2 linked regions of the Arabidopsis thaliana genome follow. The protein of the gene in region 2 interacts with the protein of the main gene of each other region in a pairwise test. Each region holds a gene or a part of one and is shown on either strand. Other genes may lie near its edges.

Region 1 (5,078 bases), on a different chromosome or scaffold from region 2:
TGAATGTTTGGAGCCAGCAAACTTGGTTGATCAGTGAAAAATAAAACCATCCGCCCTATTTCCTGCTTCAGCAATATTCTCCTTTCTCGGTGTATGGTATCACATAATTGCAATGCTTGCTCATGCACCTCACTGAAAGCAGCGACCAAACAAAAGTAAATCTATAAATTCAGAGCTAAAGTCACAAAAATTCTCCAGTATCAGATGAGGATTACAAAGTACTGAACTATTAAAAATTGGAGTTACCTGATCATTTTCTCAACTTGTTTTGCTACACTATATTCTAGATCAGCTTCCTTTTGTTTAGTCCGTCCAGACTTAGCCATCTTCTTTGATTCTAACACTCGGGGTAAAACATACAACTGGTAGTCTTCGTGCAACAGAATGTACTGCATAGTTAGATTAATAGAGTCAGCTGATGCAAAACTAATTCCAATACCAAACTCTTTTTCGCAGACCATTTGATATAAACTCACCTCATCCCGGAATAACGTCACGACTAAGTTTTCCTTTAGCACGACCTGAAATACAACAGGACAGTATTAGAGACAGCACGAATTACACGCAATCTTGATTTGTTTTGAGCATCAAAAACCTAACTCCATTACTAATCTTAAGTTAAACAAACACTGAAAATGAAAGCACTTAACATTTTACAAACAAAGGCAGAGAGAGGCAGAAAATTTCTGATTTGTGAAACAAATTTATAGAACCTATTATTGACCAGATAAGATAGTTTTCAAGATAGAATCCTTGGAGGAAAAACTTCTTTATCAAGATCACAATCGAGAACAAAATGAAAAACAGATTCATACCAGGGCGATATCAATGCTAGTAACACGAAGAAGCTCGTCGGGGCAAACGAGATATCCAAGAAGCACCCACTCTCGGTACGAAGTAACATTTGCAAGATCTTGCGCTCTCTGTAGGAACCAAGAGTGTATTATCTAATATTAGCACTATACATCGAAGTAGAGTTGTAAGGGAAAGACAATAGCATCCTACTAATTCTGAGAATCCTAAGCTTTTATGTTGATAATAATCTAGCCGTTCGTACCATGGGATGAGCAGAATTTGTAAGTATATCTGGGAATCTAGGATGATATGGGCTTAAAAATCCCTCATTTCTCAACTTCCTCGTATCTGCAGATAGAAAAATACTGGGTCCTACAGCCTCCAGGACCTAGGAAAATAGTAACGTTGTTAGTACTGCTGTATCAGTTGCAATATTAGCTCGTAGGATACCCGTGATTTGAATAAAATATTAACCTCTCCAATCCTTGGGCTGACAAAATTCAAATCTTCTTGTAAGCCTTTCAATGGGGGATCATAAGAGTCTATGAATTGCACCAAGCTGGATGCAAGACGAGGAGTGTTAATATATGATATCAGAGTCTATTGATTATATACAAATTAAAAATGATACTACAAGGAAAAAAACATCCATACCGGTGATAAAAGTCACAGTCTCGATCATTTCTTGATAGCGCATGCAGAAGGTTGTAGACTTGCAACAACATTTTCCTAGGAATCTACTTTGATAAAATAAACACTCTTACATATTGATAATAATGTAATGTCTCACATGACATGTGTAATCAATCCAAATAAACAAAGAACTAAGAAAAGGAACAAGCTCAGCATACCTTCTCTGCGAAGAGATTGACTCGGACAAATGCACAAAAGAGATCCATGAATGCATGCAGAATAAGTGAGTTCTGATGAGGCTGCAAAAAGCTGAACTAAGTTATGAGCTAATCATGAATACTCAACAATTTTATCTTCATCCTCACAGACATTTTTGACAAGTAAATAATAACTTAATGTACCAAAACATTTCATGACCTCCACCTAAGGTACGAGTTCAAAAGAAAGCTCAAAGTTTCAACCCAGAGCAAGTAAATACTTTCCGCAGATGAGAGACTTTGACTCACCAGCAAGGTAATTACAGTGCTGCTTAGGTCCAATATAAGCCGCAGTGCCTGTTCTCGAAATGCCATCAAGTCGAGCAGCAGCTGATTCAAGAAAAGAAAAATGCATGACGAGAGGACTATGAAGGCACCCCTTACTGAAATGCTACACACGAACTAAGGAAAGAAGGCTAGCAAATAACTACTCGTTTACATTTTAAAAGTTAAAACCATGTATTAGGTAAATCATATATGCATGCCCAGATATATAAAGCTGACTAATGGTGAGATGGAATAGAAGATTGAATATTGACTATATAGCAGACTGAAGATTGAAGATTGACTAGGTACACAAAGAAAACTAATAGAAAGATTGACTATATAGCATGTAGGACTTCCGAGATGCTTCACCATTCTCGAACAACAAGTTTCACAACAACAGAACGTAAACCCAACAACATATTACATAGATAGTTTCTTATTACCTGTATCCATGGCTCTAAGCTCTGTAAGTGAAGTTCAGCACCATCATGCAAGCTATCCAGTGAAAACTTATCAATCTGCATAAGTATTGCAGAATAAATCTTTTTTCATTTACCATCAGATCAACAAATCAAACAGTAAGTCTAATAAAAAAAGAACTCATGACTTACACGTTCAAGTTGCAATTTGCTGAAATGCTCAGGGAACTTTTTAGAGAGCAAAGTGCATATCCGTGGATGGTTAGGGAAGACACCCGCTTTCCAAAATGCTTCAGAGAATACATGGCCAACAGGATCAGGATACTCCAAGATTTGATTCAGTCTATACATTTTAGCCATGAGACCGTCAGCAACCTCAATCATTTGAACTACCCATTGTATGTTCAAAGCCTTTGTGGAACCACCAACATGTCCATCAATTTGCTTAGAGCTCCTAGTAGAAGACACTGATGCAGCCATTTCAGGTCCCAAGTACTCAGTCCATCTGGAAGGACCTTCCCATTCCCTTGATCTCACAGAAGTCGGGGACATTGATTCATCTTGAGATGGATAATATTGACGAGAATTCGCCATTAATTCAGTACAATAATCTCTACAATAAAGGAAAATGTATTTCAAAATCACGTTACACAATCTCGTCCAACATAATTTACTTAGCTCTCTACTCTTGCATTCATCTTCCAAAAACCCAGTAATACTCAACAACGAGTGACGAGTGAGAATAGATATCCCCTCGTCAATTTCCCAGCAACCAAACAAGGAGCTAAAACCAAGTCAAGCAAGAGTCTCGTGAAGATTGAAAGTTACCTGAGAAGCTTTAAAGGCGAAAGTCAAATCGAGCAAAAATGTCTCAGTAAGATCGGAGCTTCGTCTGAGAGTTCAGATCTGAATTTCTGCAACCTACTCCGGAGACGATGATGACGACGACAAAGAGGAGAGAGAGCGTCGGGCTTAATCGGAGTGTGTGAGCCGAGAAATAAAGAGTTGCTAAATTCGGGTCTCTCTCATTTAAGACAAAATTAGTCAGTAGAATTTCTTTCGTTTTCAACTAAAATGCAGATTTTTTTATTTTTTTTTACTCTTTTCTTGCTCAAGCACATTTTTTACTTTTTACCTGTAAATCTAAACATTTCCATAGGAAACGAAACAATGTAAGTAGAAGAAAATTATGAACAATTGAACAGCTGAAAGTGTTTATCCCTTTCAAAAAATAAATTGTTTATAAAATTTTAATAAAATATGAGATTTTTAGTTATATTGAATCGGAATTGTCTACTTGAATTTGAGCAGTGCAAGACAACATTTTTTCACTAGAAAAAATGATATTTCAAATCATGTGTTGTTTTGGTTTGATTGTAGTTATTTGGATTACAAGTTTTTTTTAGCAAAACTATAGGATTAGCTCCAACTATTGAGATTTTAGCATAACAAACCAATGTTCTTTTATCATATGTACATTAACAGAAGGTAAATTCAAATCTACGACATCTATTTCAATAATGAGGATAGCTAAAATAGAAAAAAGTATTTGGTATATTATGTAGTAAGTACTATTTTTAGTATTTAAAAGGAAAATTTCTGTTAGAAAAAGAACAAACGTTCTAGTTGGGTGGTTGAAATGTAAGTTTTCGAAGCTTTGACAAAATGAGAACAAGTCCCTTAACCGGTAATTTTTAATATTTAAAAACAATTAACCAAGAGAACAATATTGACGTCGACAAATACTAACTTGTAGTATATAATTATCATTATCTCTACATATGGAGTAGCTTTTAGGTGTAATAATTGTCAATTATTTTAGAATTACTGTGTTAAACTTTAGTATGATTCGACTAATAAATAATGTTTCTGACGTTTCTGATGATGAATTTGCCCCTCCCTCACTTTTTGTTGCGTGTCCAAAGCTCAGTGCTATCCAAGCATTTCATCTTTTCAACATAATTATTTGATTTGAGAATTTAATCATAATGTTGATATTACTTTTTTACTAATAGAAAACAATCAAACAATCAAATTAATAAGTAAATTAGTGGAAACCATGACACACAAAAACAACTTCATATAATAAAGTAGGGTTGACAACGCAGGAATATTGTATTACAAGGCACATCTTGTAACTTTGTTGGACAACTGTGGCTAAACAAGCTTGGCCTTCACAATAAGCAACAATGATTCCAAAATCTTTTCCCTCTGTGCACATATCATTGCATCACAGATTTTGTTTCCTTTCACATTATCTTTTGAGGTCCCTATGAACCAGAAAATAACAAAAAAACGGTTTTCACACGGTTGCTACAATATGACCGAACCTATATTCTTTATTCGCATGAATCTTCCATTAGCTTCTTCTTTGTACTCGGCTATTATCTTGGATTCCAATTTCTTCATCTCAGGACTGGGCAGTTATTTTACTGAACTCCAAATTAATTCAAGAGTCTACAAGTGTAGTTGCTGCCGTGCCTAGACCTACGGAGGTAAGGTCCATCTGAAGAGAAGCATTTTTCTTGTCAACATGTTATCTTATATAGTATGAACATTACCAATCCGGTGTACAATTGTTTATAAATAGATGGATGGTGGTCCAGTAGCATTTGATTTGGTCCCTCCAAAGGAGTTGGAGCTTGCTAAGCACTAAGCACTAGTTCAACCCGCTAAGGGTTATGGTTTTCGGTCCACGAAGATGTAC
Region 2 (5,012 bases):
TGGTAATGACCCTTCAAGATTTTAGTCTTACATGGTTGAATGCATTGATGTTCTACTGATTTTTTTCTATATTTTATTTTCTTGATCAGTGGAGGTGACACCGGAGTTTGTTTTACTGAACAAAGAACCTGAACCTGATCCAAATGATCCTTCAAAACTTGTCCAGAAGGAGGACCCTGTTATTTTACATACACCAACAGGTCGAATAATCAACTATGTAGAGGATGAAAAGCATGGCATTCGACTATTTTGGCAGCCTCCTCTGGAGGAAGGAGAAGAAGTGGATCCTTCAAAAGTTGAGTTTCTGCCACTTGGGTTCGACGAGTTCTATGGGAAAGAAGTGGTAGTGAAAAAGGAACACCCAATAAAAAGCTTTGTACTTGGAATCGAGAAATCGGTGAAGCCGATGCTTGACGGATTAGAGAAATGGACAGAAGAGAAAAAGAAAGCATATGAGGAGAGAAAGGAGATGATACAGCAAGAACTTGAGTTAGTAGAGGCTGAGATTTGCTTAGAGGAAGCTATAGAAGATATGGATGAAGAATTGAAGAAGAAAGAACAAGAAGAGGAAAAGAAAACTGAAATGGGTTTAACTGAAGAGGATGAAGATGTTTTGGTCCCGGTTTATAAAGAAGAGAAAGTTGTCACTGCCAAAGAGAAGATACAAGAGAATAAACAAGAAGAGAAATACAAAGATGATGATGATGAGGATGATGACGATGGTGATGATGATGACGATGATGATGATGATGATGATCTTGGGCCATCAAGTTTTGGATCTGCAGACAAGGGAAGGAGGAATTCTCCTTTTTCTTCATCCTCATTGTCTTTTGCTTCGTGTACCCTCTTTCCTGCGGTAATACTCTCTCTTATTTTTCAGTATAATCTCGGTTTGTCTCGATTAGAAGAAGTTAGTGTTGATATATGTAAACTTGGCAGGTACAATCAAGACTAGAAAGCTCATTTCTAGCATGGAAGCAACATCGAGCAGAACCATCAAAAGTGAACACAGGAATCATCAAAGGTGCTGATACCGCATCAGCTTCAATCCATTTTCCTCCATTGTCGAGTAACAATGCTAGATTGAAGATGGGAAAGGTAGCAAACCGAGGTTGTGTCCAGAGAAGCTATGGAAGCTCAAGATCTCAGTCTCAGTTAATGTCTCTATCACGACTACTTTCTTGCAACGCATCATCATCTTCTTCTCCTCCCGATAGCAGCTCCAGTGAATACCTCAAAGACTCCGGCCTCTGGGAAACACCGGTTGGGGACATGAGCGTGGTTTTGTCGCTGCAAATTCAGACAAAATGTTCTGATTTGTTTGCTGAGACTCCTGCTGTGTCTTGAGTCTCTCTTCTTCTGTAGCATTTAGCTCGAGTTCTTATGCACTTCAAGGCTTCTTTTTTTGGTGGACAAGATCATTTGAATTTTTGTTGTATTATCTAATAAATATTTTACCGAAACTATTTAAACGAAAAAACTGAAGATTTATTTCTGTTTTATTTTTCATAATCATATGATTTAGAGAATGAGAATCGAATAATCTCAGAATATTTAAGTTAATATTTCATTTATCAATTTAGAATCTTTACCAAATATGCAAATAATTTTACATTAACGCAAATATTCCAAAATAAAGGAAGCGTTACGAAATTAAGGGCAAAACGACGCCGTGTAGACTCTCGAAGAACCCTAAAGAGACTTCTTAAACCTCATTCGATTATAAAATAGCCCCAAACCCACTGCCTCTTTCACTGCAATTTCTCTCTTTCGCTTCTAAAAAAAAACCTAACAACCTCTCTTCTCTCTTCCTCGTTCAACAACAATGGAGTTCTGGGGTAAGATTCTTTATTTATTCCTCTTATATCTTCCGTCTACTGTTTCTATTTTCCACGTTCCGAGAATTTTGATCGATTGTTCATATAAGATCGTATTTAGCTGTATTTCGTGTATATGTTCATACCTTGTTGCCTTTGTAGCTTATTTAGGGTTTAGGTTTCACATAGAGCTTGGTTTCGGTATCAGCTTTGATTATGTGTAGATGTTTTACAAGTTGATGAGTGACTCATGTTTGATTTCTTTGTATAATGTTATTTAGGAGTTGCGGTGACACCAAAAAACGCTACTAAGGTGACTCCTGAAGAAGACAGCCTTGTCCACATTTCTCAGGTTATTTTCACACTTCCAAACTGTATAAAGTTTTTAGGATTTAGCTTAATACAGTCTCTTTATGTTTTGGTTCTCTTTCTTTATGTGTAGGCTTCACTTGACTGCACAGTGAAATCTGGAGAATCTGTGGTTTTGAGTGTGACTGTTGGTGGGGCTAAACTTGTTATTGGAACACTTTCACAAGACAAGTTCCCTCAGATTAGCTTTGATTTGGTTTTTGATAAAGAGTTTGAGCTTTCACACAGCGGTACCAAAGCAAATGTTCATTTCATTGGCTACAAATCCCCCAACATCGAGCAATATCCTTTTTTTGATAGATTTGACTAGGTGTTCTTTGTCTCTATATTTAAGACTGGAAGATACTAGAAGGTTTAGCTACAATGTCTTATTGGTTGTGTATTCCTTAATTCTTGTTGATTGAGTTTCCACGGATGACTTCACTAGTTCGGATGATGAGGATGTTCCTGAAGCTGTTCCTGCTCCTGCCCCTACTGCTGTTACTGCCAACGGTATGTGTTGTTGATGCTAATATTGTATTTGTTTCTTTTATTGAAAAGTTGTTATCTCATATGTCAATTTCTTTTGACATTTCAGGAAATGCTGGAGCAGCTGTTGTCAAGGCTGACACAAAGCCAAAGGCCAAACCTGCCGAAGTGAAGCCTGCAGAAGAGAAGCCTGAATCAGACGAGGAAGATGAGTCTGATGATGAAGATGAGTCTGAAGAGGATGATGACTCTGAGAAAGGAGTGAGTTTTTGTAGCTGTTTATGATATCTGTTTTTCTATCTAGAGTACTCATATATACAGTCAGGAGAAGATGAGTAGTTGGTTGATAAATTATATGGTGATGTTTTTTTGTAGATGGATGTTGATGAAGATGACTCAGATGATGACGAGGAGGAGGATTCTGAGGATGAAGAAGAGGAGGAGACTCCTAAGAAGGTAGATACATTGTCTATCAAGCAGTTCTTTGTTTACTTTACTTTTTACATAATTTAATTCTCCTTCTGACCTTAATTGTATCATATGATTTGTGTTAAAGCCTGAGCCAATCAACAAGAAGAGGCCAAATGAATCTGTATCCAAAACACCCGTCTCTGGAAAGAAGGCAAAACCAGCAGCAGCACCAGCTTCTACTCCTCAGAAGACAGGTGAAAAGATGAAACTCTCTTTGTTTTTGTTCCTTAGAAGCATTAGATAGTTAAATAATGAGAAAGCTTTCTTAGTAATTTGTTGTATACTCTGTTGTATTCTGACGAAAGAGATATCTTCACATTGTGTTGTTGGTACAGAAGAGAAGAAGAAAGGAGGACACACCGCCACACCACACCCAGCTAAGAAGGGTGGAAAGTCTCCTGTGAATGCTAACCAGAGCCCCAAGTCTGGAGGTCAATCATCCGGTGGTAACAACAACAAGAAGTGAGTTGTCTCTTTCTTTATCTTTCTCATAGCCCAAAGATATGAGTGAAAATGTTAATTGGTAATGATGTGTAATGGTATTGTGTGTGTACAGGCCATTCAACTCAGGCAAACAATTTGGTGGTTCCAACAACAAGGGTTCTAACAAGGGCAAGGGAAAGGGTAGAGCTTAAGGACGTGGATCAAGGAGAGGTTTTGGGTTTTCGAGTAGATGATGAAAACACTTGGAAGTGTGGTTTTGGATTTTTATCTTATTTTATTAGTATAACTTGTTATCGGATGAGCTATTTTGAGTATTTGCAATTTCTACTTTCCTATGTAATTCAGTATATGAATATTTGCTGAAATGAGAAAGAAGACTCGAATTGCAAACACAAATTGAGTTTATTACTTATAGAGTATAAACACCAAAATTGATGCATAATAGCCAAATCAAATTACCAAGCCTATCTTTGAAATCTAACAACGTTGATTTCACAAGCACTAGAACATCTCTGGAATGTCATGAGTTCCCTAACGACGAGAGACTCTTGTTCCTCGCTATGACAATCTCTGCATAGCTTAAACTTCTTGAGGACTAGCGAATTCTCAAGGAAATATTTTGATAGTTTCATCTCTTCTCCACTTCCATAGTTTGGTCGTATAATCTCAACATTCTCAAGGCTTGATTGCAAACACTTCGGCACTGATGATGATAGACTGATTTCTTCATTTTCCATTTCACCTTTCAGCTTCTGCATATGTCAATTATCCCAAACAGTTGAATAAACGTCTTTTATAACAGTGACAATGAAACATGTGGTTTTTAAAGCAAAATCATTTACCAAGACAAGTGATTTGAGATTTGGACAGCTCTCAAGAACGCATGGCAACATTTCCAAATCACAAACATAGAATTTCGCATGTAACCGCGTCATGTTACGAAACTGAGGCATCGGCTCGTGCTTCAAGTAGTGACAAATGATCTGCAAAACACAAAGAAAATGCAGTTTTCATCCTAAGAGACACATTCAAATGACCAGTTTTATATATTTGTATGCATATATACCTTCAAAGTTGTTCCACTAATAGTCATGTCCCTTAAGCTTGAGAGCCCGGTGAGAAATTTACCGACATTGCTTCTCTCGAACGACTCCTCTAGATCCCAAATATCGGACACATTAAAACTGACCTTGATATCTGCCTTTGCAGATGAACACAAATTGTTTATCACAAAACTCACTGACTGATCATCTTTAAGACTTAGATACACGAGCTGAGGAGCATCAATGACAACCTTCCAATCGTCACTATCATCATTATACCAACACTTGGAACTATCAATAACGAGTTTGAGACTGTTTAGTGACTGAGAGCTCACCCTTAAAACCTTCTCAGTGGCTTCATCTACATTTCTAACAACAGTTAAATCTTCAAGAACCGGGC

The links.
Region 1: the proteins of HD2B (region 2) and GRL come close enough for resonance energy transfer, tested with the Arabidopsis thaliana proteins (one study listed by BioGRID).

Annotation. Positions count from the first base shown.
Region 1 is NC_003071.7:14,800,561-14,805,638, forward strand, and holds the start of GRL (transcription activator), read right to left. Parts: upstream 3,291-5,078; 5' UTR 3,200-3,290; intron 2,985-3,199; 5' UTR 2,966-2,984; coding exon 2,564-2,965; intron 2,471-2,563; coding exon 2,396-2,470; intron 2,016-2,395; coding exon 1,935-2,015; intron 1,728-1,934; coding exon 1,647-1,727; intron 1,533-1,646; coding exon 1,450-1,532; intron 1,355-1,449; coding exon 1,270-1,354; intron 1,184-1,269; coding exon 1,058-1,183; intron 924-1,057; coding exon 816-923; intron 522-815; coding exon 247-521; intron 133-246; coding exon 1-132. UniProt on the Arabidopsis thaliana protein: Involved in regulation of actin and microtubule organization. Part of a WAVE complex that activates the Arp2/3 complex.
Region 2 is NC_003076.8:7,532,295-7,537,306, forward strand, and holds HD2B (histone deacetylase 2B), read left to right. Parts: upstream 1-1,651; 5' UTR 1,652-1,825; coding exon 1,826-1,838; intron 1,839-2,098; coding exon 2,099-2,169; intron 2,170-2,259; coding exon 2,260-2,468; intron 2,469-2,598; coding exon 2,599-2,678; intron 2,679-2,763; coding exon 2,764-2,915; intron 2,916-3,029; coding exon 3,030-3,110; intron 3,111-3,210; coding exon 3,211-3,319; intron 3,320-3,460; coding exon 3,461-3,587; intron 3,588-3,681; coding exon 3,682-3,760; 3' UTR 3,761-4,033; downstream 4,034-5,012. Other genes in the region: emb1211 (MORN (Membrane Occupation and Recognition Nexus) repeat-containing protein), read left to right, coding at 1-2, 90-856, 940-1,347; AT5G22660 (FBD, F-box, Skp2-like and Leucine Rich Repeat domains containing protein), read right to left, coding at 4,034-4,321, 4,412-4,552, 4,636-5,012.